4 linked regions of the Coturnix japonica genome follow. The protein of the gene in region 3 purifies or fractionates together with the protein of the main gene of each other region. This does not show direct contact. Links are inferred from orthologs where the notes say so. Each region holds a gene or a part of one and is shown on either strand. Other genes may lie near its edges. The genes, in order: SSX2IP, CEP135, WRAP73 and OBI1.

What was found.
Region 1: the proteins of WRAP73 (region 3) and SSX2IP purify together in Homo sapiens (co-immunoprecipitation; 4 studies listed by BioGRID and IntAct, counting the BioPlex papers as one, with this or other methods). This does not show direct contact. The link is inferred for Coturnix japonica from reciprocal best matches to the Homo sapiens genes WRAP73 and SSX2IP.
Region 2: the proteins of WRAP73 (region 3) and CEP135 purify together in Homo sapiens (co-immunoprecipitation; 6 studies listed by BioGRID and IntAct, counting the BioPlex papers as one, with this or other methods). This does not show direct contact. The link is inferred for Coturnix japonica from reciprocal best matches to the Homo sapiens genes WRAP73 and CEP135.
Region 4: the proteins of WRAP73 (region 3) and OBI1 purify together in Homo sapiens (affinity purification with mass spectrometry; 3 studies listed by BioGRID and IntAct, counting the BioPlex papers as one, with this or other methods). This does not show direct contact. The link is inferred for Coturnix japonica from reciprocal best matches to the Homo sapiens genes WRAP73 and OBI1.

Annotation. Positions count from the first base shown.
Region 1 is NC_029523.1:14,422,963-14,429,710, reverse strand, and holds the end of SSX2IP (afadin- and alpha-actinin-binding protein), read right to left. Parts: intron 6,584-6,748; coding exon 6,447-6,583; intron 6,024-6,446; coding exon 5,850-6,023; coding exon of another isoform or gene 5,831-5,849; intron 4,253-5,830; coding exon 4,141-4,252; intron 3,739-4,140; coding exon 3,621-3,738; intron 3,386-3,620; coding exon 3,304-3,385; 3' UTR 2,496-3,303; downstream 1-2,495. UniProt on the Homo sapiens protein: Belongs to an adhesion system, which plays a role in the organization of homotypic, interneuronal and heterotypic cell-cell adherens junctions (AJs).
Region 2 is NC_029519.1:58,568,995-58,577,031, forward strand, and holds part of CEP135 (centrosomal protein of 135 kDa), read right to left. Parts: intron 7,481-8,037; coding exon 7,352-7,480; intron 5,706-7,351; coding exon 5,490-5,705; intron 4,922-5,489; coding exon 4,856-4,921; intron 4,118-4,855; coding exon 3,967-4,117; intron 3,346-3,966; coding exon 3,152-3,345; intron 2,710-3,151; coding exon 2,566-2,709; intron 2,006-2,565; coding exon 1,862-2,005; intron 1,303-1,861; coding exon 1,225-1,302; intron 1,062-1,224; coding exon 910-1,061; intron 7-909; coding exon 1-6. UniProt on the Homo sapiens protein: Centrosomal microtubule-binding protein involved in centriole biogenesis. Acts as a scaffolding protein during early centriole biogenesis.
Region 3 is NC_029536.1:820,665-828,701, reverse strand, and holds the end of WRAP73 (WD repeat-containing protein WRAP73), read right to left. Parts: intron 5,350-8,037; coding exon 5,277-5,349; intron 4,892-5,276; coding exon 4,788-4,891; intron 4,406-4,787; coding exon 4,319-4,405; intron 3,859-4,318; coding exon 3,724-3,858; intron 3,626-3,723; coding exon 3,548-3,625; intron 2,902-3,547; coding exon 2,796-2,901; intron 2,465-2,795; coding exon 2,339-2,464; intron 1,886-2,338; coding exon 1,694-1,885; intron 1,400-1,693; coding exon 1,290-1,399; 3' UTR 912-1,289; downstream 1-911.
Region 4 is NC_029516.1:137,635,144-137,643,180, reverse strand, and holds part of OBI1 (ORC ubiquitin ligase 1), read right to left. Parts: intron 7,260-8,037; coding exon 7,168-7,259; intron 5,510-7,167; coding exon 5,261-5,509; intron 2,240-5,260; coding exon 2,151-2,239; intron 1-2,150. UniProt on the Homo sapiens protein: E3 ubiquitin ligase essential for DNA replication origin activation during S phase.

The sequences.
Region 1 (6,748 bases), on a different chromosome or scaffold from region 3:
ATCAGTGCATCAGTTGGTAAACTGTTCACAACAGCGCATGGTCAGCCCTTCCCAATGGTTGTAACTAATTTTATTTTTTATAGTTGACCCTTTCTTTATAACAAAATTACATGTTACACATTTTATTAAGTTGTAAGCCTTGCACAAATAAAGGAAATCTAAAGTTACTAACAAAAACTTGAATATTGGAATATGAGTACAGTGCCAATGTGAAAAGTAAAATAGCGTACACCATGGACTGATGCTTTAACTAAACTGCAGCTCTGATAGGAACAGTGAACACAAGAGATGTGACATATTGCAACAGGTAATAAATGCTTCTTTCAAGGATCAGTTTTTGTACTCACTTTTAGATTTTTGGATTGGTGGGAGCGATGGTACAGAAGCAAGCATCTCTCCACCCATAAAAGCTTCATGGCAACTCCAAATTAAGAAAAAAAAATAAAGAAATAAAAAAATAACACACAAGTAAGTAGAATTCAACACACACAGCATTCTCCTTGTCCTGGAAATATTTATTTTCCATTCAAAAATAACCCGTTTAAAGTGGTATTATTTGGAGATTTCAGTTAGTTTCCTTGGCCCATTTGAATTACATACACAAGAACTTCTGAGAAGAGCAAGAATATGGTCTGAGTTCTTTCCACACATGTAGGAATGTATTTGTCCTGCTGCATCTGTGCAGAGGAAACCTGCAGCAGCTACTGGAAGCAGCGCTACAAATGTGGAAGAGGGCTGTTTTGTAGGGAACAAATTCCTAAGTAAAGCTTTCGATTATTGATTTTTTTGTTACGCAGTCTGTAAAAGCTATTTTGTACCATTCTCAAAGACAGAAAATAAATGAAAAGCTTAACAAAGGTAAAGTAAACCTGGAAAATAATTTCTCCTACCCAATTAAACTTGAATTTATGATAGAAACACATTCCCATAATGTAGACTGAAAAAGAAGCCCAGATAACAGCACACAAAGCACGTTATATTTAAAGACAGAGGGTGTAAAAGAACCATGCATCTTTTCAGTATCACACACAGGTGTACTGTGTATGTCATTTTCACTAGCACTCCCTCTTAAGTATGCCACTTGCCCTTTTATCTCAGATAGACATCTCTGTGCAGTAACACACCTGCATGGCATTCATGAGGAGCAGAGGAGGAGACTGCTCCCAACAGTCTCTGATTAAGTAAGCTCCAGAAGTTCTAATTCTTCACCATGGTGGAAACAACATCACCATACTACCAACCACGCCACCTGCAATGTTCACACCATCATTAGCAGCAGCTGCACATTTAGAAGCTTTCTCATCAATCACTGCACAGAGTAACCCAGAAACTCCAGGCAGTGCTCTCCTTCTTTACAGAGAGGGAACTGACCCTGTACCCAGGCCCATGAGCCTTGCTCAGGACTCAACTGCATACATATTTTTAGCACAGTTGATTCTTCCATATAAACATTCAATTAAATTTCTGCTTCTATGATATGGGTCACAGAGTTTAAACTAAAGCGCATACAACATAATTAGGTTCCTAATCATTCAATAGGTACAACAAATTAAATAATACATTATTTTGCTCTTCAAAGTCATCATTATTCTAAAAGTGTTCATGAAAAATTGCTTAATAAAATAGTCCAATTAAGGTATCCAACAAGAACATGTTTAAGTGCCCTCAGAAAACATCAGAGAACAATCTCTTCAGAACAGCAGCAGCCCCTAGTGGCATCCTGATCAACTACGGATTTACAGATCTTGAGTAAATTAGTTTCAAGATAAGAACCTTGCATGTAAATTACTGTTCTCCCACTTCAAATCACAGAAAATCCTGAGTTGGAAAAGATCCACAGGGATTGAGCCCATCTCCTGGCTCCTCACAGGACTACCAAGACGCAAATGTTGCCTGAGAATGTTGTCCAAATACTACTTGAACTCCAGCAGTTGATATTATGACCAGTGCCTTGGGGAGCCCATTCCAGTACCCAACTCCCTTTCTGGTGTGGGACCTTCTCCTAATACTCAGCCTGTGCCTGTCCTTACACAACTTCATGCTGTTGTCAACATGTATATTAAATTCTTCAGCTTATGTCTTTGAGCATAATTTTAGATATAGGTTTTTACTCTTTCATAACTAATATTTATGCAAGTTCTTTACAGTATCATGGGGACGGCATAAGCTCAGCAGAACTTATTTATTGAGAGGGAACTGGAGAAATACATTTTAATATAGCCTTTTTAGAAAGAAATATAATATGATTATACTTGTATTGTTTTCCCTGTCTGGTTACTCATGCAGAAAAAGTACATGAATTGACTCAGGTGAAGGAGACTTTGAAACTTCTCATCCATACATGGGTATTTTTAGAAAGTTATGAACAAAGATTTCCCTAAGGCTACACCAAGAATTCTGGAGCCCACTAAGATGAAAACAAAACTAGCATCAGACAATGAACCCTGGCCCTACAACCACAATAATTAAAAAACTAGCAGTCACAAATCACAGAATCAGTTTCTTAAAACAGACTTACACATTTATTTTTTTACATTTGAAATAATTTTATTCCTGGCTGAACCACTGAAAGTCCTAATGCATCTGTAAACAGAGTATCACTATAAAACAATTTCAAATACCATGTAAAATAATATTATGGATGTATGCATTTCATTTCATGATTTCTCAACATAATCATTTTGTCTATTTACAAATATATAAAGATTTCGTGCTTTAGCTCATCTGAAATATCAAAGAGGTATTTTCAAATCACACAAATTAATAAATATAGAACTTGTTTCATTAAAAATCTACAGTATACTGTACATTCAAGTTGAGGCAAAAGAAGTTTTAATGCCAGTTACACTTGAGATGTTTCTCAAGATGAGTGTTTCTAATAATTAAACCATTCCCAAAAGTGCTATCTGTCTGTGATGAAAAGAAACATTAGGATCCAATATTTCATTACAGCCAAAGTTTCAGACCATAGCTTCATTCACAGAACCGCAGCTTCCATTACTAGAAAAATATCAAAGCTTTAATATACTTTTAAATAAGCATCTTTCAAGAGTTGCAAGAAAAAGAGGCAAGAAATGGCCTAAAAAAAATTAAAAGCCATGTGCACACACATACACATCACAGCTCAGCTTACCACATAACCCTTCAGAAGAATATTCAAACTCACAGCATCCTGTTACACTTTAGAAGTTTATGAATAACTCTAACAAAACAGCAGGAAACCCTAGGAAGTCTAAGGCAGTTGATCTATGTGCAAGTTTCTACATAGCAGAGTACCATCTTCAGAGTCTTCCTGTGACTGCATTACTCAATTTCTTCCTTGTCACTTTCCTCCCACTGATTTGGCTTACTGTCTCCAGCAGGTTTTTTTAATGCAGCATTGAAACTGGTAAAAAGATAAAGTAACAGCGTAAGTAACTGCACATTCAGTTACTAATTACGCTTCAAGAGAGAACAACAATACTGTTGTGATGTTTTATTCTTCTACATATCAATCATAAGACCTAGATTAGATCTTTTGGTACATTATCACAATTTCATCACTGCTCTAAATAGAGTTCAGCACTATGAAAAACAAACAAATAAACCACAAGAAACATCTACAACATCATTTGAGATACCTGTTATGTGAAATATACTGAGAAGTCTGGCAGGATTCAGCTGAAACAGGACCACTCAGCATACAGTGAGGTTTTCTTTGCTGAGACATTGAGCTCAGACGATTGTCTTGGTCAGGAGCTGGAAGGCATACATATAATCAGTTAGCTCACTTTACAATTGAAAACATTTGAAGGCTTAAATTTTAAGTCTTCTATCAAAAACAATGGACAAAAAAAAACCAAACAAACACCCAAGCACAGCAAGCACCTTCCTCCCACCCTACTGCATGACTGTAATAATAAATACAGCCAGAAACACCAGAAGATGAAAAAAGATAATTATAACTTCAAAAGCTTTAGTATACAGTCTTAAATAAGTTGCTCACAGATCATTAGAATCAAGTCATTCTTCAAGGTAACAAGGCAAATGATCTGTTCCTAAAAAGACAATTTTTTCCCCACTATGGAAATGAATTATATCTTAATCTTATAGGTAAAAGGTGGAAAAAGCAAATTACAGTAATATAATTTGAATACTTGCTTTCTATTAAGGCACTTGGAGTTGTCACATTTTCAGAGTGCTTGTAATCAGTACACATACTTAAGAACTGTTGCTTCAACCACGCTCCTCTATCTTCTTCAAATGCTTTTCTCTAGGAAAATAAATGACTATTTACAGTTACGACCACAGAAACAAGCTTAGTCTACGTTAAATTGATGCTATTCCATACTATAAAAGACTTCAAAAGTTACAGAATACCCATGCAACTAAGGCAATTCAGAAGTTTAACAAAGAGTTACAGTCATGTAAGCAAGCTTTTCATTCCAACAAGGATTAGCTGAGGAGGTATTTATTTACAAGCCAAACCCCAAGGTTTTTTGGAGAGGTCTGAATAATCCTTTCACTTTACTGTTCTCCACTACAGTGACACAATCTCCTACCACTGTCTCTTGTGCTCCCCCTGTCCCCACAGTGCGGCACTACCTTGTGGAGATGCTTCTATTTTCTGGGCAGTTGCTCATAAGGATTCCTGCTTCCGTCTTAGTCCTCAGCTTTCTCATAAACAAATACAAGCAACATTGAAAATAGCACTGATCACTTCCTTCCACTAAAAAAGACTGAGCAGAAGAAAGGTGGTGTTTCCTTTTCCAATCACTCTATGCGCGCAAAAGTAGAAAATTCTGGCTAAAAAAAAAACCTTCAAAAAGATGCATGGGATGTAGAATCAAGAGACAAGCTATCCTAACTCCAAAAAACATCAGTGAAACAGAGTGCTCCCATCACATAAAATAAGAAGGCTTGCAGTATTGCTTCTACTTTTTCATTTCTCCTTTCAAATTTCAGTATTCTAACATTCAGAAGCACAGGTAACTACGTTTATGTTGTAAAATGGTCTAAAATATTTCAGGACAAAACTTCAAGATTACATATTAAATCTAAGAATTCACTAAAATGCAAGGAAAATAGAATGAAAAAGATTGAAGAATGCATGATCATATATATAGTGGCCTGAATCAGTATTTGTCAGTGTTCTGAACTACTGTTGTACCAATGTCTCAAGTAAAACTCAAAATATTCTATGATCTTGACCTTTCATGTTCCTCCCTGCTAAATTTGTAGTTGTCTTCATGTTTTGATCCTAACTGCTGGCCAGACAAAAAGATGTGCTAGAGCAGCACGCTTAGAGAAATACCCACCCCAATTCCCTCCCAGTATAAGTCTGTTTACTGGCCAGCTCAACTACAAGAACATGAAATGGCCCTACTGAAGCAAAGATATATTTTGGCTTTCTGCAAAACTGGTTTCCACGAAAATTTAGAAATCAAGAATCTTTGAGAATTCAATACTGCAGCCAAATCTGACAGTGATTTGCATAAGCCCGGCTGTCTTAGGGAGCTACACTGAAACAGCCTCTAATCAAGATTTAATGAATAAGCAGACAGATCTTTCAGAAGTACCTAGATATTTCCAAAGCTGCAAGAAAAATAATTCATCCCAGTTGCAGCAAACCCATTCCAATATACACGAGAAATTAGGTGTCTGTTGTTTTGTTTGTTTTAAGTGCCAGCTGAATGATCTGCTGCATTGACCAAAGCTATGTTTTACAAAGTGCAAGAACAAGCTCTCTGAATAGAGGTATAAGCAAACAGACAATGTATACTAGGAAGTTTTTAGTGTGTATTAAGAGTTATTCTTGTACTCTCTTCCATAGCAGTTCCTTTTCTAATACCTTTCCACTTTTCTAGTACCTCTAGTCCTAATCTAATAGCAGCTTCTGTAAAACTTCTTCGTTCCTTCTCAAAGTTCTTTTTTTGCTCTTGAAATAGCCTCCATTCTTCCTGAAGACGCTCTCTATCTTCCAGCAAATAGCAGTCCTGTAGTAACAGAGTGGTGTCATCATCACATGGAGACATAAGCTGTTGCTGTAGATATAAATACAGAAATAATAATTTTGGAATGACTGTTCAGTTGTTTAGACTTTCCACAGATTCAATTTCATCAAAAAAACAGTTGAAGTTTAATAAGCAAAAAACACAGGTGGTAGGGGCAGAGTTTCAAGCAGCCAGCAAATCACCTCTGTTCATGCAGCTGGCCTTATCAACCGTCCTCATGTCAATTAACCCCCAGAAATTTTCCTACCAGGATTACAAACTCATTACATTACTAATCAACTGAACAGATCACTTAAACCAACCACAGAGATATCCTATTTAAAAAGCACTGTCAAAAAAAAAAAAAAAAAAAGAAAAAAAAAAGGAGAAAAACTCAGAAGTGAGTGATAAGTGACATTAAAAAAAAATAATAATTCACAGATTTGGTCTTGAAAATAACAAAAAGCCTGCTACCTGTAAAAGCTGCTGCTGAGTTTTGATCATTTCTTTACATTGCTGAATTTCTAACTCTAGTTTTTCAGTTTCCAGCTCATGGTCTTCCCTTGAAATTACATCTTTATCATTCAAGGCTCCTGAATGCACACGTGACACTAAGGGAGAAGAAAAAAGGGAAAAAGGTTACTTAAAAACAATACATCACAACACTTAAAACTCAAAGCAATAACAAAGATTGTTAAACTGTAATAGTTTAATTCCAAAAGACACATTCATCATGCACTCAAAATTCCTATTATCACGACAAGCAATCCAGAATT
Region 2 (8,037 bases), on a different chromosome or scaffold from region 3:
AAGAGCCTGGAAAAATCAGTATACAATTGAAAGACATTCGGGAACTCGGACTCTTCAACTGCTTGAAATTCTGGAACAGTTCCAACGTAACCTCATGATGGGACTGTATGACAGCAATTAAAGACTGCTGAGACCAGTACTACTTCCCTTGCTTTGGACCCCTGCAGCAAGTCCACCTAAATGCCATTCCAAATTGGAGCAATAGAATCTCTCTGAAAATACCATGGTAAACTGAAACATTCAGGTCCTTACTAGAAAAGCTTTTCATTTTTTCAGTCCAGAATACAATGTAGCTGCAGATAAAAGTTACTTTTACTTTATTTAGGATGAAACTTTAAAAGGACAAAAAGGTGCTCTGAACAGAGCAATAACAAAGTGGAACCAAGTACTAAAATGACTACATCCCTTTTCCTTCTTTTCTGCTTTTTATAGGTCATGATGCTTTCTGCTAGAATTGTAAGGAGTCTCACAAGATACTCCAGCTCTACAAATTATGTCACAATTTTACAAACAAATACACTAATGGTTTTACAGTTTGCAAATGCATCTGACTTCATTTTAGCAAACAGCGATTCTAAGTCCTTTTAGAACTTTCTGTTCTGCTAAATCTGCAAACAGAAAACATGGTTGTTGGAGGAAACAGTTCTAGAAGGTGAAATTTTTCATTCACTGTTTGTCATAAAAAGCATCAATATTTCAAGTCATTAAATACATCCAGGAGGAATTTGGTATGAAAAACTAAACCAGTATTTTTTTTCTTTATTCATATCTACATATCCCAAAGATAAAAACAGTATGAAGTGATTTTTTTTTTTTTCCAACTATCTCAAGGTCCTTCCTAAGACCACATTGTAGAGTAAAATTATGGTACTGTCACTGAAAGGCGACTGTATTTTGTATTAGACTTACTGAAGTGAGCAAAGTTCAGCTTTAATTTGAGAAGAATCATCAGATGTCTGGATAAGTTTATTGGACTTTAATTTTAATTCATTTTCCAAAGACTTGATTCTTTCTTTCAGGATAGAGATTGTACTCTTCAGTTCACACCTTTCCAACTCAAACTGCAATTAAAAAAAAAGATGGTATTGTTGAAGAAAACTATCACAACTTGGCTTTTAAGTAAATCTAAGTTACAAAGAGCTGAAAAAAATTGCTGAAAAAAAAGAAAAAAAAAACAACTATCCAATTCTAGAATAAAAACTTGTTTATTAAAAATGAACTTACTTGTTGAATGTTATTTTCCAGTACTGAAATATCATGCTGCATCTTTGATTTTTCAAGGTTAGCCGCTTCTTGCTGAATCTGAGATAAAAGCACCGGTTTACATTGTAATAAGATGTAGATTTTCACTAAACATAACTGAATAGCTGAAAATACACCACTGCAGTTATATACACACGCACGAGATTTTGAAAACAATAAATTCAGAGTTTGTTTAATTACAATTCAAATTCATGTTTGGTTTCAATTTAATTAATATTTGCCAGTTGTTGCAGAAACATTACAGAGATACAGGGCAATAGGAAGGTCACAAGGATGTAGCACATATAGTTTTGTGACAGAAAAACCATACTCAAAGCAGCGCATACACAAAAATATTCTGTGATATCTAGACTCTACACACAAAGTAATTCCATAAGTTGCCCTCTGATGCTTCAACCCCTTTTCTCTACTGCCACTCTAGCTAGGATCTGAGTTTACTAGGACAATTCAGACAACTCATCCAGTTCTGCTAAATGAATTTGAAATCAGACAGGTTTATAAGGTATTGAAAAGTGGAACTGATTGACAGTCAGACATAAACATGGTATAATTTAAAAGCCTTTTCTCACTGTAAGCAATGCAGCTAAAATAGTCTCACCTTTAACTTTTCTCTCAGACTTTCCTTTTCTGCCATCAGTCTTCTAAAGTCTGCCAGTGCAACATCTCCATCTTCTCCCACATGACTTTGAGAAACCAAATGATGTTTTGCTTCCATTCTCAGCCTGTTTAATTCACTCTGAGACTTTAAAAAGCTTTTAGTTGTTAGTATATGTGGATTACAATTAATACAATGTATACAATGACACAAAGTTCCAATGCTGTTATCACAATAGAAGTGCTATTATATAGGACTATTTTTCCCTAGATAACTAAAACACATTTTAAATCACACAGGAGCACAACTTCTACTGCCAACATACTTGGAATCCTTCTGTCATTTCAAGTATAGACTAACTTCACTTGGTTTTCTCATAATTTAGTTACAACTTCTACCTAGCCTGTATCTCTACCCAACTTTCACATGCTTCCTTTTCATTTTTCCCTGATCCTTCTCATTTCCAAACACCAGTAGAATGTTAAAATGACTCTGAAGTTAATACATGAATGTTAGAACATGCAATTTTATTATCAAGTTTAAAAAAATAAGAATATGTAAGTATATATTTTATTATTCTTCATATTTTCTCGTAGGTCTAAACTCCTCAATTTCTATTATAATGTGGAGCTGCTTTGTTTTGAGCAAGCAACAGTAAAGTAAGTTTGAATTGGATGTTTCAATGCCAATTATGAAGACCTTCTTACCTGCTCATAAAGAATACTTAATCTGTCTTTTTCCGCAGTCAATAGCTTGACATTGGATTGAATTTCTATCATATGCTTTTCAAATCTGTCTAACATGGACTGTAGCTCATCTCTTTCTCTAGTGATCAGTCTCAGGTCTTCACTCTGCAAAGTGATTAATAAAACTGAAATTAAAACATAATAATAATAGGATACTTAAGTATTACAAGAAAGAACCCACATGATTAGGAATGTATGAAAAACACACTTAAGACATTTTAATTCCAAGAAACATGGCATTACTAGTAAAATTTAACCATGAGAACAAACTGTTAAACAGAAAAAGCAAACCAGCTAACAATACTATTTCAAACTTTGTTTCTTTAGAATCTAATTCTATTTATTTTACACAAATTGATCACTATATAAATCCATGTTACTGTAAAATGAAAACAGGGAAACAAAAAGTTATTCTCAGTTAATTTTCTAGGCTAAGAATGCAGTCTAAAAAAGTAAAAAACTTTTATTGCTACTGAAAATATATTTGATAGCTCCTTCACAGTTACTCTATAATTTTTCCAGCCTATATTGACAATAGGAATGTTACCTTCTCTGGAGTCCTACGACTTGGGCTAGGTCTTCGTTTTATCATTTTCTGAAGATAATCTAATTCTCTTTTATAATAATCTCTGTCATCTTCTAATGTTTTGACAAATGCATCTAGACGAGATGGAGATTTGTCTCCTAGAGCTATACCGTATTCTAATCTCATTCTTTCTATTTCTAGGACAAGTTCTCGTTCTGCAGAAAGAAAAATAAAAACAACTGCAAAGGAACCATAACAATTTAATCAGAGACATTTGCATTAGGAATGGACTAACATCCAGCAACTGGCTAGGCACGGGATCTGCTGAAAATGAGACAGGGGTCCTGGTTCACTATTGCCTAGACATGAATCAGTAGCGTGCTTTGGAACCAGTTGAGGCCTAGCAGTAGAGTGAACTGCATCAGTGGAGATGCAGACTGAAGGATATGATTATTTCCTTTTACTTATGGTTCATTAGGTCACATTTACAATACCGTACCCAGTTTTTACAAGAAACAAGAATGATAAACTGCTACAGAAAGGTCTTAAGAAACATTCTGAAGTCACTCACTCAGAAAGACAGAATGAAAACAGCTTGGGATAAAAGAAATTACTTTGTAAGAAATTGCCTTATTACTATTAGGATGCCCCATGGGAAAAGCTGAACTTTCAAACATGCTTTTGAGATAAAAATTTCACTTAAACAATGACTGAAGACCTACAGACTTTTTTTTTTGTTTATTTATTAGTATTTTTAGTCTCTCATAACCTAGAAGACACTCTATTTAAAAAATTTAAGGAAGATAATTTGCAGGAATCTGCATTTAACCATTTACCTTTTATTTCAAAGTTCTCTGTTTTTTCTGTCAGCCTCTGTTTCTCTTGTTCAAGCTGATTTAGCAGTAATTCAAGATTCTCTTCATCATTTTCTTTTCCAAAGAGTTCTTCACTCAATCTCTCGTTCTGTTGACGACATGAGCACAATTCCTGAAATAACAAATATTACAAAAATTTAGAAGTGCCAATAGAGACACGTGGAGAAAAATTAGTTACCTAACATTTTGTTAAGCTTCTAATATTCAACACTGCCTACTTTTAAACAACCCTGATGTTTTACGTAACATCAACTCAATCCTGCAGCTAACATGCCAAATGGCATTTAATATTTCCTATAATTTGGTGCTCTGAAAATATTTTCATGTTTTCAATTTCATTAGAAATACTTTAAAAAAAAAAAACCCCAAACCTTGCATGCAACTAGTACACAACTTCTTACACACTGAAAACAGATCTTTCAGGATGTCGTCTTTCATTTGGGCTATTAAGCTTTGTTTCTGACTAGGAAAGTAACGTGTAATTGTTCATATACTAAGAGACAGAGTAAATCCTATATTAAAACCTCTTTGGATATAATCATTAAATGTTAGTAAAAATGATCGTGTTATGGCAGTTACAACTTCCAATAGCAAAAATAATAACAAAATGCATAGTAAGGATAGTAAAGCCTGCTGCCTGCAGAGATTTCTTTCAGCTTATTTTTGCAACAACATCATGTAGCTTCTTCAGCTCTTACATGTATTACATTAGTTTGATAAAATTTGGAGATACAAGTTTAATTTTTAAATAATAAAGAAGCACTGCTGATTTTTATTAATGAAAGAGACGTGAATGACAGTATGAAAAAAATACTACAAAGAAGATTTAAACTGGAAGAACTTCACTTACTGATTTAAGCCTCGTTACGGTTTCTTCAAGATCCTGTATTTCACTGTCTTTTCTTTCAATTTCTTTCTGTCAACAAAACAAACTTTAATTTTAAAGGTCCATGTTCAAAACAATTCCTCTGTTATAAAACTTAAGGAAATAGGTTTTATTTAAGAAACAAATTATAATCAGTTCCTTGCAAACTGCAAAATTTTAGGTTCACAGATTCATTAAAGTTCCTATTAATTGAATGCACATAACACTTTAACCATAAACACTCATTTTGAACAAAACAACTAATTGAGTCACACCGTGACACCTCATAAAAAAACTATCCATACACTCCTCACTGTTGCAAACATCTATTACTTATCTATAGTTTTAGAGTAGCTCTGAATTTTGTTTCATACTGAGGTAACAGAAAGAAGGCAGACTGCCTCTTTACTGAATTAACCTCACCTAACACAGAAATAAGACAAAACTGCTGTGATTAATCTTTTAGTGAGAAATTCCATATACCACTAAATCAGAACAAAATATTTTCAGTCTTCCTTGAGGTATTCCTGTTGCAGCTAAAAAAGCCAAAATTAAGGCAAATTAGAGAAATTTCATCTAACAGCTTAGATGATCCAACTCATAAAACCCTAGTGATTACCTTTGCTTCTTCTATTTCTTTATCTGCAGTTTCAAGCACAATTTCCTTATGTCTTTCCAATTGCTGGGCCAAATGGTCTATTTCATTCAGTTCTTGACAGAGTTCCTCATTTTTATTGCTTAAGTGCACTACTTCACTAGTCACATTTTTTTTTGTGTCCATGAGGTCTTGAATGCGATTTTCAAGTTCTTTGTTTGACTGCTGAAGATATTCAACCTAAAAGATATTTTTTATTAAAACATTAATACATATTATTTAACTAGATAGTATAGTTTAGAAGATTAGGAAGAAGTATATGCTATCTCTACATCTCTATATTAAAAGTGATATCCTGTTAATAATGGCTAGACTTTCTGTTCTTAGAAAAAAATACATATCAACATGCAAAGTTTTACAACTTCACTTGTTTTACAAGTGTGCATGGTGGAAAAAATTAATTACTGCATTGCTCTTTATATGGGCTCAAAAATTCAACATTTATCCTGTAAACAAAGCAGTGAAAAGTAGATAGCTTTATAGAAACCTGCCTTGGGCATCAGTCTAGTAAACCCAATGCACTCAATGCTTCCCCAGACTTCACAAGAGCTGAAGACAGTTCCGAAGACAGTTCCTCCTATCTATCTATCTATCCAGTACATTTGCTAGGCTTGGATTCACTATTAACTCTTCCACAGAAAAGGAAGCTTTACAGATCACATCGTAATGCCAACCTTGCTTTCAACATGTCAGCATCTTAAACACCACATTCTAGAAATCCTGCATTAGAGACATTGTTTTTCCCATTATGCTACTCCGTGCAAGTTAGTTAAAAAATATATAAATTACACTACATGGGGAAATGGGAGCCTGAAATATCTCAACCTAACAGATGTTGCACTTCCTTGTCCACATAACTTTCCTCCAGAAAGAAGTTTGGTTCTAGGCATGGAAGATAGTCTGAGTCTTTTCATGGTCCTAAATGCTACTATACAGCACCAATCCATTTACTATCAGAGATTAAAAGTAGAAGATCAGCACTAAGCCTAAATAAATAGCCTTGATAGCTCAAAACCTGCTTTATGCAGTGCTGAAAATATAGCATAGGTGCCTGGGCTCACTCTGCATAATCAGTGTATCTTCAGCACAACTTACTAATTCAGGATCATTGAAAACAGCAGTACTGCTTTCAAGTCATAGCTCATACCATATTTTTGCATCACTGAACCTGAGCAAACGAGCTCTGTAGCCTGGCTCTCTCTGACCTTGTATATCACATACAAGCAGTACCCAAATGGTAAATACATGGTATAAATCCAGAGACAGACTTCATCTGTACTCCAGACTACCTTAGATTCAGAAATTTTCAATCTGAGACCAGTAACACATGTATGCTAACACACACATTAAACACAAACATCCTAACCTTATTATTTTCTTGCAAGTCTATGTTGGAAATAAAGGTGAGGACCATTAGAATTAAGAGGATTTCCCACTATCTGATGAGATTACCTGCAGACCTCTTGATAAGTACATATACAGGAGTTAGCTGCAAAGACGTAAATGGAATGTACACATATACACTGTAAATCAAAGTAATTTCAAACTCAGACAAAACAGTGTATCATTCAGAAATTTCCTGAATACCCTCAGGTTATTATACACAGAGGTGTGTACATTAAATTCTTCACAAAAAAAAAAACAGGCTTTTAAAACAAGGAATTTCTTTAGACAAGAAAGTCTACCACCTAAAAAGCGAGTCAGTTAAATTTGTTGATTTTATCTAATACTGAATTTTCTTTTTTGAAGAAGATCTAGAAGTTGTTTGTGATTGTTAGTTGCTAGTATTTTTCATTTTAACTTATCAACAGCAATTAATTCATTACCTGTGAATTTAATTGGGCAATAAGTTTCTCATTGCTTTTACTTCTTGATTCCAGAGCTATAACTTCATGAGAACGACCACCATCCAATGCTATCATTAGGCGTTCTATTTCTTTGTCTCTAAGCTCAACCTTTGAAGAAACAAAACCTTTATCATCTTCTAAAGCATTTAACAGTACCTTTGTTCTGATATGCTCCTATGTAATGCTCAGTTAGAAGAGATGTCTCTAGCAAATAAATTTTTTTATTTAGTACTCAGGTTTTTATGAATTCTGCATTTTTCTGAACAAAGTGATTTCTCTGAAATAAAACTGAACAAATAACATTCATGGGAGAAAACCAAAACCAACAAACCGGAACAAGTCCTAAAAGATTCTTTTCTTGGAGAGAAACCAAAGGATTTAATTCACCAACATGTAACTGAAAAAAAGAAATTGGGGTTGGATCCACTACTCCTTAGATACTGAAAGATAAACAAGACACAAACACCTGAGGCAATTCCCTCATTTATACATATAATATCATCTTTTTGATATAATCTAATTAAAGAGCTGTAAAATCCGCTGTCCATGAATTAACCTCTGAGAAATTAAAATGAAATATAACCAGTCCAAATAATAAAAAAATATCCTAATGTACCTGTTGATCTAATTAATTCTAACCCATGGATATTTCTACACTAAAAAAA
Region 3 (8,037 bases):
CTGCTGCAAGCACCATATCCAAGGTACTGTGCCATAGGGCAGTTGTACCTCTGAATCATGTGGTGTGCTTGGGATTGATTTGTATTGCTTCAAGAGGTTTCAGTGTCTCCCAGTTACAGTGATCTTAGCGTACAGATGACTGACTGACAGGGCTTTCATTAGCACAAGAGCCAGCAAATTTTGTTACAGCTGTACTGCTACATCTGCTCAGAAGCAGGGTATGTGGGTTATTGCTTTGTCAGCAGGCACATGGCTGAATATATATTGGCTTTTTGGTAAAAGTAGCTCCTTCTCTCAACTGAACCTGACTCGCCATTTCGTACCCCCTTCTGCTGCAGCCATAAAGACTGTCTCGAGAGAGTATTGCCAAAAGCATTGCAAACGTTTGCCTTCAGAGCTGTTATTTGTAGGAACGGTTTTATAACAGTAACCCTATTTGTATTCATAGCCATTTCCTTAAATCCACTCTAGTTCAGAGCAGCAGCGTGGAACCTCCTACCAGGGACAGAGCTTTGAGCAGTGTATGTCAATCCTGACTTATACATTCTTACATTTAACCTCATACAAACCTCCAGTACTGAATCTCAGAAGCAGGGGGGAGATGCTGTAACCAGAAGTGCTCATGAGGTTACTGTAACAAGCTTCATCATTATCTGTGCTCTTCTATACACGTGGTTTTATGGGAATATTCATCTGCACAGCTACGATGCTGAATAAATTCTGTGCTGCAGAAGCTTTTCTGAGCTCCAGGTGTGTTTCTGAAACTTACACAAAGCTGAAATAACAGTGGAACGCAACAAGCTGCACTCACCTCTCAAGGCCTTTTCTAAGGTTATCTGCTTCATTGTTGCCTTTCAATAACATTAAACATCCCCAACTTACTCTTCATTCATCTGCAGAGCCTGAAGCTGATATTAATAGCATTTTTTTTTAGTTAGAATCATACTAAGTTTGTAATATCAAAATATTTATTGGAAATTATCAAATTTAAATAATATCTATACATTATGTACATTCAGCTACAATGTTAGGAAAAAAAAAACCAAACCACTCCACAGTTGCCAGAATCTGTTGAATTACATCAAAACTGAAGGCTCCTTAAAATCCAGCCTTTGTTTTCCCACACTTGAGATGCAACATCATTCAGATTCACTCACAGCACTTTATGGACTGGAGCTGGATTGTGCTCCTTCAAATAAATAACTTACAAACTGAAACGCTTCAGGTTGGGGTTTGACCCCTTTCCTCATTCTTCCTCAGATCCGTGAGCATTTTAATGCGATCAATAGTTATTTCACTTCTTCTCTTTCTAAGTAACACACACAAAAGTTATCCTTACTCAGAAGCACCATGGAATCTCCACTAGGATGCCAGCAGAGAGAAACAATCTGGAAGTCACCTGCAGAAATAGCAAGAAGCATCTCCTTATTCCAAGCAACTTTTCCTAGGTAAGCCACATGCACTGCAAAAAATACCCCCCCACACAGCTCTAAAACAGGGATTTTACATCTACTTTAGCAGAAACAGTACAATTGAGACCATATAATCTGCAATCTTCTGAAGGATGGAAAGGCCTGTCTTTGAGAAGCTGTAAGCCACAGCTTAAACATTAACTTAATTTGGCACAAGCACTATTATAAGTGGAAATAAAAAGCTGATGATGGCTTGCAGAGGACATTGTAGAAAGCTTTACCTTCTGTTGGAACTTGTACTGTCACACATCCAGCTGGGGACCATAGGTAGACTTTGCTATTTCCTGTACATACAGCAAGTCGAGGTTGTCGTGGATCCCATTGGAAGGACTGGATGGCACACAGCTGCTCTAACACTACAGACAGTTTCAGTTTTTGAATGTCCCAGATCCACACAGCATTAGGAATGTTATCTGAAAGTAAAGAAGAAATCATTTGAATACCTGAAGGAAAAAACAGGCCTCGTGGCCTCTTTAGAAGTACTCAGTTTGTCTTCCTCCACTGTTTCTTACTGAACTATTCACAGTTGTGCTGCTGTTAATGGGCTCTACTTCTGAAGCACAACTTTTGCATCCAGACATAAACAGCCCTCAGGCCTGTCAAAGGGAAAACCTGAGTGTTAATCCCATGACCATCTGTGTTAATCAGAAGCCCCACAACAACAGGCTGTGAAGAACTCTGCCTTCCAAGAGACACATGCTGGAAGTGGAGCAGGAAGGAGCTGGGCACTTCATTTTCCAATACAGTGGCTTCAAATGTGGAGAAATTAAAGAGCAGGTTACTGTTATTAAATATAAAGCCAAACCCAGGGTAATGCACATAGAACAAAAAGGTTTCTCCTTTAACAGAAAACAGAAGGAACTTACCATTTTTGGTTGCCAGGAAACAGTTATCTGGACTGAATGCCAGCATCCCAATCCCCATTTTGGGATTAGCCCTATCAGCAACAGGTTTGATGTACTGGAAAGAGACTGGTATCTGGGAAACGTCATCTGGAATTGAGAATAGAAGGATTTTACTGAGCAAGCCTGAATGGACAAAGCATTCAATTCTAGCTGTTAAAAACAAAGAGAAGCATTTTATTCTTCTCTTTCTTTTCTTATTCTTTTATTCAACCCACTCATCTTCAACATGCCTTCAGAGCACAGACAGCATCCTCTCCAGCAGGGTCCTTACTGCCCTGGAGCTCTTCAGTTAACTCAGGAGAATTGAGCAGAGCACCCAGAGGATCCATTCCAACATCAGCATTCACATAACATTTATTTATAGAAAGACTTCAAGATGGCAAGCTCAAGTGTCTTACTTTACTAAACCTTGGCTTACATTTACTTTGTGTGCTGAAGACAGAACTAGCCAATGCTCTTGTCGGAGGGAAAGAAAATCTCTCTGTTTCAACAGATGGGGATTTCTCCACTTCTTTATACACAATCTACAAAGAAATAAGTGACAGCTCTAAGAAGGGCCTAGAAGAGTTTGAGCTTGGGCTATTAATAAATCATTCTCATCCCACTAACTCAAGTGATTTACACCATATTTTCAGGTGTATTACATCTCAGCACCCCCAAGTTATCAGTGAAGGAGAGAGGCTTCAAGCAGGCAAATACTGAATCCTGCATCCTCATTGAATTGTTTGCATATTGGAGCCACGATCAAGAAAACTCTTCCAGCAGATAAATGAACCTTGAAGTCCATGAAGAATGAGTCCAACTCATTCAATATTCCTAAAGTCTACATCTGGCAGTGCAATAAATGGAATAACGGAAACATAGAATGCCAACTGGAATTCCTGTCTGCATAGTAGAGACTAGCAGAGTTACTTCCATTTGTCTTCATTACATGTTCTAAACTTCACAGGAAAGAAAGGCCATTTCTCAATTAAGAGAAGTTCTGCTGAGGTGCAATCAATGGATCATTGATCCAAATCTGTAAGCAATCAGCACCTACAGTGAAATACACTGGCATGTATGTGAGTCTAGAAGGGGGAAAAATAGAAAAGCTTCCAGGATGAAATGGATTTATTAACATCTTTGGAAACAAACAGCCACACAAAAGTGCTGATAACGATTCATACTTACAGTCTTTGCATTAGTAACAGTTGCTGGGTGTTCAAACTCTGTGATCTTTTTCCAAGTTACATGGTTCAATATACGCACCTAATTCAAGAAGATATTGCAAGACAGAGTGGTTATGACACAATTCTGCAAATGATTTAGATAGGCTAGGTTTATTTTTCCTCTTCTCTATTTCTTACCTTTTCATCATAGCTGCCAATTGCCAAAAATTGACTGCTGGGACTCCAGGCAATGGACTTTATGCCTAATGACCATTCATAAGCCTGATACGTGGACAGCAGACTGCCATCAAGGGAGTACAGCAATAGTTTGTACTGAAACAAATTGATTAATTGCCCATAAATCCACAGCCATCAGAAAACACTTTGCACAAAAGATAACATTGACATATTCCTAACAAACATTTTAGTCACTACTTAAATTCTCATGCAATATCAAGTAACACTGAAGAAACATCTTAGAGAACAATTATTTCCTCATTTATCTGAATAGCAGCTTCCACAGTGTTTACAATTAAAACTACAAATATATTTTTATATAAGCTAGATGTTAATAAGCTTTTTTATTGTCATTAAGGGCCTACATAAGTTTGACACATACTTGTTAGGAAGCTCATTACCTACACAGGTGTAATATTCTGACACGTTTCCTTGGAGTTCAGCTGATCTTATATTTGCTTGCAAAATAACACCACATTTTATTTTAGTTATTGCTTCATACATAGCAGCTGTAAAAAGAACAATTTAAACTCTAAACTCATCTTCCTCCTCCTACCTCAAGACATGTATCCCACACTGCCAGAACGCAGCCATTGGGAGCCCACTCAATCCCAAACAGATCTTGAGTTTCAGTGTCAAAATGCTGTCCCCAGAAAGAGAAAAATGTCATTTGAAGCATTACACTAACAAATATTACATGCAGTCCTCACTTCACCCTTCCAAATGCTACCATAAACATAAGTCTTTCATAAGCCAGCATAGAAGTGTACAGTTTAAGAACTATTCCTTAGTGATAATAGCTTATATGAGGGGTTGTTGTTTTTTTTTCTTTACACATAGTATATACAGCTTCCTGAACAGAATCCCTCTGCTATGGAATGATGCTACAGGCCAGCAAAGGAGTTAGGCTAAAAAACACACTGGCAAGTCTAAAACCAGAGTAGCAAAGTGATGGTGTTTAAAGCAGTGTGCAGCTGATGCTTGTAGCCTATACAGAAGCAGAGGAAAGCAGAGACACATCTTACCCTCAGCAGCTGCCAGTTACTGCACACAAAGAGGCTGACGAAGTCTTTGCAGTCACGTCTTTCTGCTACTGCCATATAGCGGCCATCCTTGGTGAAAGCTATTCCTTCCAGAGGGACAGAAAGGTAAGTAAGAGAACAAGGCAAAACCAATAACAAGACAGATGAAACAGTTAATTTTGTGTAGCTGCACACAGCTACTGGTATCCCATCAACTCCCAAGTGTCAGCCCCCATCCTGATGATGAGTAGGCACTCTGGATTTGTGCTTCTCATCACCAACACTTCCAGCTTTACACCTTACAGGACCCATGAGAGAGGCAGCACAACGGAAAGACATGCAGAACAGGCACATAAAGTGGTGAGAGTTCAGTGCAAGGGCTGAGAACTCAGATCCTAGGACAGCACACGCAGCATGTGGCACCTAGTTACCCATCATGGTGAAACATCCCTGTGTTCAATCCCATTCCTGTGGGAAACTGGTGACACTTACCCTGCTGACAAGCTTTGGGATACTTGATGTAAGACACAGATTTGGTACATAAGGACCACACAGTTATCCGCAGCTGTTAAGAGAGAGAAAGACAAAGTATTTGCTTATTTTTGTAGATTAAAAAAAGGTTAGTACATAACCCTCCCCCAAAACCTAGCTTAATAATGCAAAGTACTATCAGTGTACGGTTTAATTAAGTTTTGCAGTTATTCTGCATAGCACAAAGCTGTAAGAAAATCTGGAAGGAATTCATATTACAGACAAGCAAAAGCAAAGCATTAAACACCATATCTGCGGTATTTCTGGAGACTTGTGTACCCCCAGAACATGAAAACTGCAAAGAAGGCAGTCAGCTGCAAAACAAGCCCCTCCACAGCTCGTCAAGGTCACAGCCTGCATTCTGGAAGCTCTGTGTTGCCATCTGCAGATTATTCAATTAAAAACAAATACTTACTCTCCCTTAGCAACGGCAGCCACACCAGACATATGTGCATTAATCAGTATGTCATGTGAACCTTTGCATTTATATCTGGAGCAAGGAATGTTTCCGGGGTATGTTTTTCATCCCATGTTTTCCTATGTTTTTATTGCACCAAGGTAAGAGATTCTAGATAAGACGCAGGTAAAACTATTGTTGCTATTAAGATCCGTGGACATAAAAACCATCTTTCCCAAGACTTCTGAATGACACAATTAGTTCTGACTCACTACATAAGTAAAACTTTAGCACCATCTACCATTCAATCACCCACCTGCATCCAATGCAGATCAATTACCAGCAGCGGTGGGTAAAAGTTTCTGCTGCTCTTTTGCTTGTGTTTGGCCTCAATTCACATTTTCCTTTCTCTGAAGCAATTGGTACAATTCAGAAGTGAGAAATGACCCCAAGGAAGCATCTTGTGTTTGTTCTGTTAACACTGGAGCCTGTGCCCTGCAGCAGAACTCAGAGACTTTTTATTGCTGACATGAATCATGCTTTCCATGTCATTAATTGACATTGTATTCCAACCAAGCTACACATTCCTAATGCTGCCTCTCTATAGCAATGTGAGGAACAGAAGCAAAAGAGCATCACTGTTCTCTTCACTAATTTTAATATATATTTAAGAAACTTATGAGACTTGAAGAGATCACACAAAACAGCTGTTTTAAAATGCAACAGGAAAGAGCAGTGACCACATCAAATCCCAGCCTTCTTATGTCCAAAGATTAAAAAAGCACAATTGGACCACTGTTTAATGCAGCCTTTATTATCTCTTCCTTTATTTAACAGCTATGAAATTACAGCTAGACATCTATAGTACCACCTTAAAGTTTAAGGGATCCCAATGGAATCTGCAAGATGAACACCATTAATCAAGTTTTATCACTGCAACTGCTCACTTCCGGACATACAAAAATACAGCATTGTTAGCCTGCTCTTCATGCAAGATTTACTTTAAAAATACCAACACAATGCCTACTCACATTCTTCTACAGCAACTGCAATAGTGATATGCTGCTTGCTCCTATTAATTGCAGTGTTAAATGTACTCGCTGCTGTTCTTCCCTTGACCAAAACAAGCAGCACACACAATGTACATTCTACAGCCACTTAATACGAGCTTAGCAGCTGCAAGCTTTGAATGCTGAGGTCTGGATTGTAATTTTTCCTGACAAAGGCATCCAAGTTCACACTTGTGTTACCACTTGGCCCCAGTCAACTCACCTGGCCTGCTGCATGTCATATACACCACCACCCCAGACCATATAGGCTGGCTCCAAGTGTCAGAGAAGGCAAAACCTTATTGCTGGGGTGCTCAGGAAGAGGGGAATCTCTCAGTGAGAAGCAGCACAGGGCACACAGGGCTCTTACTGTTACCTCTGCATTACCTGAGGCTCATCATCAACTAAGTTAAAGACCACATGGAAGTTCTGCTATAACTTTATTGCAGCCTCCTGTCCAAGTCACACAACACAACCTAAAAACTCTGGGACTGATATTAGAAACTCACAAAAGCAAATGCTCACGGCAGGCATTTCTTACTGCCCATTCTGAGGGTACTTTTTCTTCACTATAAGTTGCTAGAGAAACTGGAGTTGTCAAACCCAAATCCTAACAATAATGGTGGCTGAGAAGTTTTCAGCTGTTGTTTTGCAGTGGAAAAAAAAAACCCAAAGCAAAAGCAGCAGCATTTTTAAAATAGCCTAAAAACAGCTGAGAAAAAAAAAAAAAGCATTTAGATGGTAACGTGATAAACAGTCTCCAGTGCTGGGTTCAGGACTACGTCCAATGTTGACAGCTATAGGCAGGTGTGAGACTGGTGATTTTCAATAGATAAAAACACACTTTTAAACAACCTGGCATCTCAAATGACTGTCAACTTTTGTCCCAGACTTGACTGGGTCACAAAGCCTCCTTACATAGCAGTGTCTGTCAGCACCGGATTTCAGAAGATTATTCAGAGTGCATTCCTCGACAGAAAGCATTTTTCAACCAACGTGGCCATTTCCAGTTACTAAGGATTAGCTCCAATATACACAGAAACACACACATTTCTTTCTCCTACTATAGCTCTAAGGAAGCTTCTTAATGCTTCAGTACTAAAGTGGAACTAGAGAAAGTACAATACACAAGATCTCAAAGAATAGGTCTAAAGAGAGACACTCCAGAACTACCCTGATGATCTCCAGCCATCCATCACAAAGCTTCTAAGTCTGGAATAAGTTCCATTTGCTTTCTCTGTATCTTTTACCTGCAGCTCTTGTTTAAACTCTACAT
Region 4 (8,037 bases), on a different chromosome or scaffold from region 3:
GCTCTCTCATAAAATCTGCTAGCAACACAAAGATGGTAGAGACTTTCTGCCATGGGACTGGAATTCAAAGTGATTACTTAAAGTTTGACATAAACATCAAAACATCCACCTGAGGAAAGCCAGTAAGTGGGTCAAGTTCCATACTCTGCAGCAGAAATACAACATGAGGTCGCAGCGTAACTTTTTCAGAAGCTGTTCAGCAGAACTAGCACTAGCCACTCATGCTAGAAGCCTCAGTTAAAATGAAGCAATAAAAGCAGTATTGCAAGATAAAAGAACGTTATAACAAGACACGACTACTCTACTCAGTGCTACTGAGGCCTCATTTATAATCTTATATCCAGCTCTAAGAATCAGAACTCCTGAAAACCACAGACAACAGAGGGTAGAGCAACATCATCTAAATCAGATGCTTACTTTTCCTAGGTCACACATCTAGAAGAGTTGCATGAATTCAGTCTAGAAAATAAGGACTGAATAGGTAAAGACAGCATATAAAAATATTAAGTTCAACGTGTTTTAGGATTTCTTTCAGCCCGTTTTTTTTTCCTTGAATATACTTAAATACTTGTAGTAAACCAGCTAGGTCAAAATGAAACCAAAGTTGAAGATAATGGAAGTAGAGTACAGACTAGAAACTGCCTACGCTTTTGAAGCATTTGAACTGTTCCTGAGTCAAAGTCTGATCCATGCTTAGTATGGGCAGAAATTCACTCCTAAAACACAGAAAGGATGTGAGTATTATGGAGGCTAAAAAAAGTTCTAACAGAGACATGAACAGGCAAATCCAGATGGCATCAGAGCTGTGAAAGAGGCCTGCTCTGTCCTGTTTCCAGTAACAACTGACTGTTACCTGTGCTTGCAAAGAGGAAAGTCGTCAGCTATTCTTTTGGGTTGCATGGACAAAAGATGGTAAAGTAACCAGCCTGCAACAGTCTCATTCTTTCTCCCTTGATATCTCATCTCTCTGACAAGCAGGATGCTAAAACACAAACAAATTAGAAGAACAGAAATTCTTTCTACTGGGGAGTTTACCTGACCTTAGTGAAACAGAGTAAGGGTAAATGATCTGGTCTCTTCTAACTCATCTTTTCTAGGATTTCTTTAACTGCATCTGTTTTCAAGTTTGCCATTTCATAAACTTCCTCTCAAATCTTATAGGAGAAAGGTATTTCTTGCCATTAAATCCCTTTTCATTGCCAAGATCTTTAACAGCGCTCTATCTCCTTTATTAGTGGACATGAGAGTAAAGTGTACCTTTATACATTTACAGCACAAGGATCATGCATTTGCTTTCTTGGGGCCTTGAACGACTAATAGCTTAGCAAGGAAGCTCTCTATAAAGGAATAATTTCATCTTCCATCAAGTTAGTTGAGCTAGAACAAAATCCAGAGAGCTCTTCTCTGGCATTACTTAGATCCCTCTAGCCCCCTTTCCCAAAAGCACTATAGAAACCCTTGACTAATGCTGCTCTTAGCTTTCAAAAAATATGATTGCTTTGCATCAAAAAGTACTTTCAAGGAGATGGACTTCAGCACACAGTTGTAATTGGTATGAAACAGTTTCTGCTGTTTGAGGTCATCACTGATGTTTAACTGCTCAGGAATATCAAGCAGACATCAGCTGTGGGAATGACGCTCTTATGCTGCAGAAGCCTGATTCTATGCATCTTGCTCAGATGAAGGCTGTCAGGAACATTCCTTGAATGACCAGCCTAAGTTCATACAACACATTTTGAAGGCAACAAAAAGAAGAAAAAAACCCTCAAACCAACCAAATACAAACAAGCAGAATCTTGGCTCACAGGAGCAAATCTACTTTAAAAAAAAAAGATGGAAGATTTAAATGAGATTTCTTAGTAACAAAAAATAAGTTAACTGTAGGATTAAAGTAATAGCTCCAGTTCTCCAGTACGAGACAGATAAAACAGAACAACACCATTTGTGGTCAGCACATATTCCTTTACAGCAGACTTGCTGTTATTCTGTAAGTTGCATTTGTCACCCAAGTCTATGAGGATGAAAACTCTAAAGTCTGCCTTGTGACACATATGTAATGCTATGTACACCATCAGAGTTTTAGGTTCAAGTCGTACAACAGTTAAAGAGTCTATAAATAAAATATAGCAGCTTTTAAAATATTCACATACTTTTGGGGTGATCTACTATCAACTTCAGCTTTTAGTCGCAAATTCTCTCTTAAAAGGCTATTGTTCTCCATGCTCAGTTTCTTATTTGCCTAAGGAAAAGAAAAGGAAAACAATAAGTATACAATAAAACAGAAATGACTTCTAATATTTATAGGACAAGCTGTTTCTGCTTTTTTTTAAAGAGACAGAACTAGAAATGTGAAAGCAGGAAACAGCCTTTAGACAGGGACACCACTTAAAAATCATCATGGGAAATGGCTTGCAAAACTGAATAGCGAACAGACATTTTTAATTTATATTCCCAAAATACACTGCAAGTGTCCTATCTAGGGAAATAAACACAGCTATGTTAGTTAGTACAGAAAGTCATTAAGGAGATGTACTAATGGCAATTCCATGTTTTTTTTCCACATGACTAAATACGTTAAGTACATTAACATTACAATGTGCAGGTATCAGCAAAACTAATGTTGAACAGCTTCCTCCATCCCAAATTAGATTAAGATTACTTTGTTTTTTTTTTTTGTTTTTTTGTTTTGGCTTTTTGTTTTTCAAGTAGTTATCCTGTGGATGTAAATCCATTATGACAAGCTATTTGCAGTTTTTCTTTACTTTCTTCCAAGACCTTATGATTAAGACTCTTGATTCACAACTCTTCTGCTCCTCGAATTGAGGTCAAATCCTTCTTCTCAGTTCAGACAACGCTCTTGTTAACAAGGTACTTCATAGAAAGAACTTTCCTGCTGCTGTGTTTCAGAACAATGATTGCCGCCATACTAACAAGTAGAAAGAACTCTTTGAACTTAATAGCCTACTCAATCTCTGTATGTAGAGAACTGCACCAATCCAGGACTTGTAACTCATGGCCTCACTCAGAGAATGCTTTCCACTGAATACTTGAAGTACAATCTCAAGTTAGACCTGAAGAAGGGGCTAAGAAAACAGGTTCATGAATGAAGTATCCTTTGTTGGAAGCATCAAACAGCACAAGAGAGACAAAAAGCTCTAAACGCTCATACAAATATTCCCAGAAACCTTCTCAGGTAAGACTAAGGTAGTGTGGGATGTTGGGGAAGGAATGAAGGGGAATTAACTAAACAAAACTCAAAAAAAAATCCTACAATATTCAGAGAGGAAAAAACAAAAAACCCCACAGATTTATTGTATAGAAGGAAGGGTGAGCCCAAAGCTTTGGTATTAGTACGTCAATCCCTTTACTGCACATTAAAAAAACTAAGAAAACAAAAAGCTATCCAGAAGGTAATGAATAAGAGCATCAAACCATTTTATATCAAGGCCAAGACCTTTCTCTCTTTGCAGGGACACAGTTCTCCCAACCACAAAGTCAAATAGGAGGTGAACAACTTGCATGAAGTTGCTACATAGGGATCTGCTGACACATGGCAGAACTGAACCTCCCCAGTCTCCTTCTTCTAGAGGCTGCTCTAACCTCCAAGCCTGTAATCTGCAAGGCATATCTACATGCAGTAGCATCTAAATTTATGAATTCACATAACCTCGTCATTAGTGCATGTGCTTCATCTAGTATTTCTACCACAGTGCTGGTGTCAGTACTTTCAGATTTGCTATGACTCTTTTCAAAGTTAGTGCGTACTCCGGGAGCCTCTGTCCTAGGACACTGAAGGATAATGGTGACTCATTTCCACCCTCAGTCTGGTTTAGAGAATGACAGCAGCAGTATGTTTTGAGGGACCCTGTCTCACTTGAGAAGAGATGCACGTTTGAAGCTCCTGTGTCAGGTATTTTAGGGAATAAGGAAGGTTCTGGCTCCAGACTGATTTTATGTGGGAAAGAGGTCTCTGCTGTTCAGACTGGGCTTGGTCAGTGCACTCTTATTTCACAGGTCAAATGTGGTCTAAAAAGAGCCAAGTGATTTTATATATTTCCAGAACTGAGCAGCTGCTCTACATGAAACAGACTGAAAGAAAGTGACTGCATTGGAGGTTTGGACTTGGTCCCTAAAACCCATCTAAGCCACTATTTGTATCTAATCCTTAACCAAAATCAGAAACTCCATAAAAATCTTTCATTGCTAAGGCTGAAGTTATATTGCAGGAAAAAAACAAATCAAAACAAACCACCTTTCCTTCCCCAGTCTCTGCTACATTCTAATTTTATCTCATCTGTGAAAAGGAGTTATAAACCTCTGTCACCACAGAAAAGAGACATTACATTTTAATGCTAAGGAAGAAAAACAGAGAACTCTTTGCAGGCAATACCCTTTAGCAAGTTAGAAATTACTCTCAAGCTTCTGAAGTATCCCCTCTCAGAAGGCCAGCTGTGTCTCTGCCTTGTAAAGCTGAAGTCCAAACCTAGCTAAACTATTCAAAAAGCTCATCTTGGAAACTCAAGTTTACTTTTTGGTCACATTTAAGTGTTTCAAAAATTTTATCTGTTTTAGTCAGGACTAGAATTTCCTTTAGATTATGAAGATACACATCTAGGAGTGTTCCATTAACACTGACAACTAACATAACAATGACAGAATGGCATAATGCGCACCTCTGAGTTTGAAGCTACTAATTCTTAGAAAAGAAAAAAACAGTTCTTGAATTTATTTATTTATTTTTGCAAGAAAAAGCTGCAGGCTTCCAGTGAAGGATGCTCTGGTTATAAAATGCTGAAGCTTGTCTATTTTTGGTCAACAGGTCAAGTTACTCTGTCTCAGCAAATTGCACCAAAAATATTGGCTCGCTAGGAGGGCAATAGTGCAAAATCCGCCTCAGCCAACTGTACTGTGTTTTGGCCACTGAATGTTGTAAAATAGATATATTATATAGATTATTGCAAGCCTGAAAAATCTGGCCATCAATACTGGTGACAAGCACTGCTATAATCCAATTATCCAGTCACAGAGTGACAGAAGAGCTTAGGAAGAGCCACATGTAAGGCTCACTAAAACAAGCAATAGTATCTGACACTTGCAAATGCTGTATGGAAATACTATGATGCATCAACAGCCACTGGAATCCAATTTTTTCCCTGTTTTTTCCTGGATCTATGAAGCACCCAGAGGTCATGCCAGCTCTCACCCCTTCAACTAACATGAAAACTGTACTTCAAGATGGATGAAGAAATGTATTTTTTACCTCCTTTAACTTTTCTACGTTATCTATCACTTTTTCACATATATCATTGGCAGCTTTCAGCTTTTTGCTCCATTCTTCTGGGGTTTCTGGGCCACTGGTACTTGCTTCATCTGCTGATTGGCTAGTTTCTTCATTTTGGCAACACAAAGCTGGTACTGTAGGATCCAGAAGAGATTTCAGTTGTGTCTGTAAATTGAGATTTCTGTCTCTCAGTTCCTCCACTTCTTTTTGCAGGGATTCTATTTCATCCTAAAGGTGTCAGAAATTCACAGGAGAGATTAATTAAATAATGATGGCAAGTTTCCACAGCACTAATGAACCATTGGTTCTTCAGCAAGCCCAGATGCATGCCTTCACTCATGAAACTAAGTACGCTTATGTGTGGTGCTCCAGGCAGGATTTTAATCAATTTGCACACTCAGGCATAGGGAAGGTTTCAGCAAAGGGAATCCCTTGACTATATAAAGGACCCTGAATGAACCGATGGTCAGTCCAAAAGCTTCGAAGCATTCAGCAACATTAATCTATTATTAGGGCGCTCTGTGGGAGGATTTCCTGTACAAAGAGAGTTCTTAAGGTCATCCTCTGCTGACTCATTTGCTGTTATTTGAGAACAAGATGAGAGAGCCACTCTGAAACATTACATGTTCAGATGCTGAAAGTCTTGAGATTTAAAATGGACAGAACACTGCCTGGAAGAGGCTGCTCCAGCTGCACAGGAGTAGAAATATTTAAGGAAAGACTGCAAAACAAAGAACAAAGCTATTAGCTGTAACAATCTGAAGCCACAGAGAAGCAAAAGCCTACTGTTAAAGGGATAAAAAGTATGTAATTTATCCTGAAAATGTCTTCTTTACTCTTTTCCAACTTAATACTTGCATTGCTCACGTTAAGATTACTAAAAGAGGTCATATTATAGCATTTATGTAGATTCAGGATATATCTGCACAAATAATCAACCTCTACCATCCTCTTCCACACCTCTTCCCCCCCCCCCCCAAAAAAAAAACCCCACAAAACCAAACCCACCCAATAAACAAATCTCAAACAATAAAAAACCTCACAACCATTTAAAAATAGATTCTATTTTTTTTGAAAGAGGTTTATGTTATTTTATGTCCATTTGTGTGATTCTGGAGTTGACTTAAAAGAAACAAAGGAAACTCCTTTTTTGTGACTCCTCTATGAAAGAAGCTGAGTTCCAGGCCAACTTGTCATAAAGACTTCCCCCACATTAAGGATACACATGGTGTCCATTTCCTTTCTCTCATCCTCCTTGCTATGAGAAAGGTTTCCTTGAAAAATGTGCTAAGTCTTCACACTGCTGCTAGTAAGGAAACAATAACTGAGAAGATAAACTAAGCATATTCCTTATATATATTATATATATATATATATTCCTTATATGCCTCTTAACCTTGTTCTTATTTTTCCAGTCAGAGAGTAGAAAAACTTCCGAGCATTCATCCACTCTCACAAAACACAATAAAGCAACAATAATGAAGTTCACCTACACCAGAATACTCCAGGAGCGTTTATTCTTTAAAAAGAAATTCAGATTCCATAAGCAACAGGGAATCATTCAGAAAATGTTAGTACCCAACATCCAATACGCATAAAAGAAATGCATACTACCATGGGATTGAATTTCCACAGCCTCTGCCTGTAGTTGGCTACCTCTTGCTTAGACAGAATATCACTGTAACACTGCAGGATCTACCCAGCTGCCAACAAACACTCTCCCCTAGCCTAAGCTAGAAAGTGTTGCTTTAATGCATCTGAGTTTCATGTAGATACAGCACTGCTCAAATTAAAAACACCAGGACTCAATGCAGGAGAACCAGTTGCATACAGTAATTTAACAGTCGCAGTTCATCTGGGAAGTCACAATGCTCCTGTGTGCTTACCTCATATTCTTTGTGGAGCAATTCAAGCCTTGTTTTACGTAGGTGCTTTCTAACTGCTGGACTAAATGTAGGATCACTTTCACTCGTTCCTCCTAAAGCAACACAGAAGAAAAAAACCCACCATTATTATTACTAGCAATCCACCTTGCAATGCATTTCATATTGTCAGCTACAAATAAAGCTAATATTGGATCAATCTACTAGCATGGGAAACTACAACCTTACATTTTTAAAACAGCTTAGACAGAATCTATTAGTGATGTTTAGAAGACAAAATCCTGTCTCACAGCAGGAAGACAACATTTGAATTTTTTCAACTTTGAATTACCCTTGACAGATTCATGCCTTATTTAAGACCACACTGTTAAAACAAATATAAGGGAGGGCATTGTGGTTTAACCAGAAAGCATCTTAAACACCACACACTGGTGCTTGTTTACTTCTCCCACTGGGTCAGAGAACCCAAAAAAAAAAGGTAAGACTCATGGTTTGAGACAAAGAGTTTAACATGACAGAAAAAGAAGGGATAATAACAGTGATAAAAGAACAAAGAAAGCAAATGATGCACAATGCACTTGTTCTCCACTTCCTGACTGATGCTCAGACACACCCTAAATAGAGTTCCCCCTGTTCCAGAGCAGCCTGGATCAGCCTGTGACAAACGGTAGGGCTGCATTTCCATCCCATTGACAGTAGATTGCAGGTGTACTGGGTGCTCCTCCAAGAAAAAGCAAACTGGGGCCTGCACTCTACTGCCAAAGGGACTGAGAAAAACACACTGGCAATATCAGTTGTGGCATACCACTTGGCTGCATTTGACTCCAGTTCATATAGTAGTTCTAACATGTATGGTACACCAGCACTCAGCAG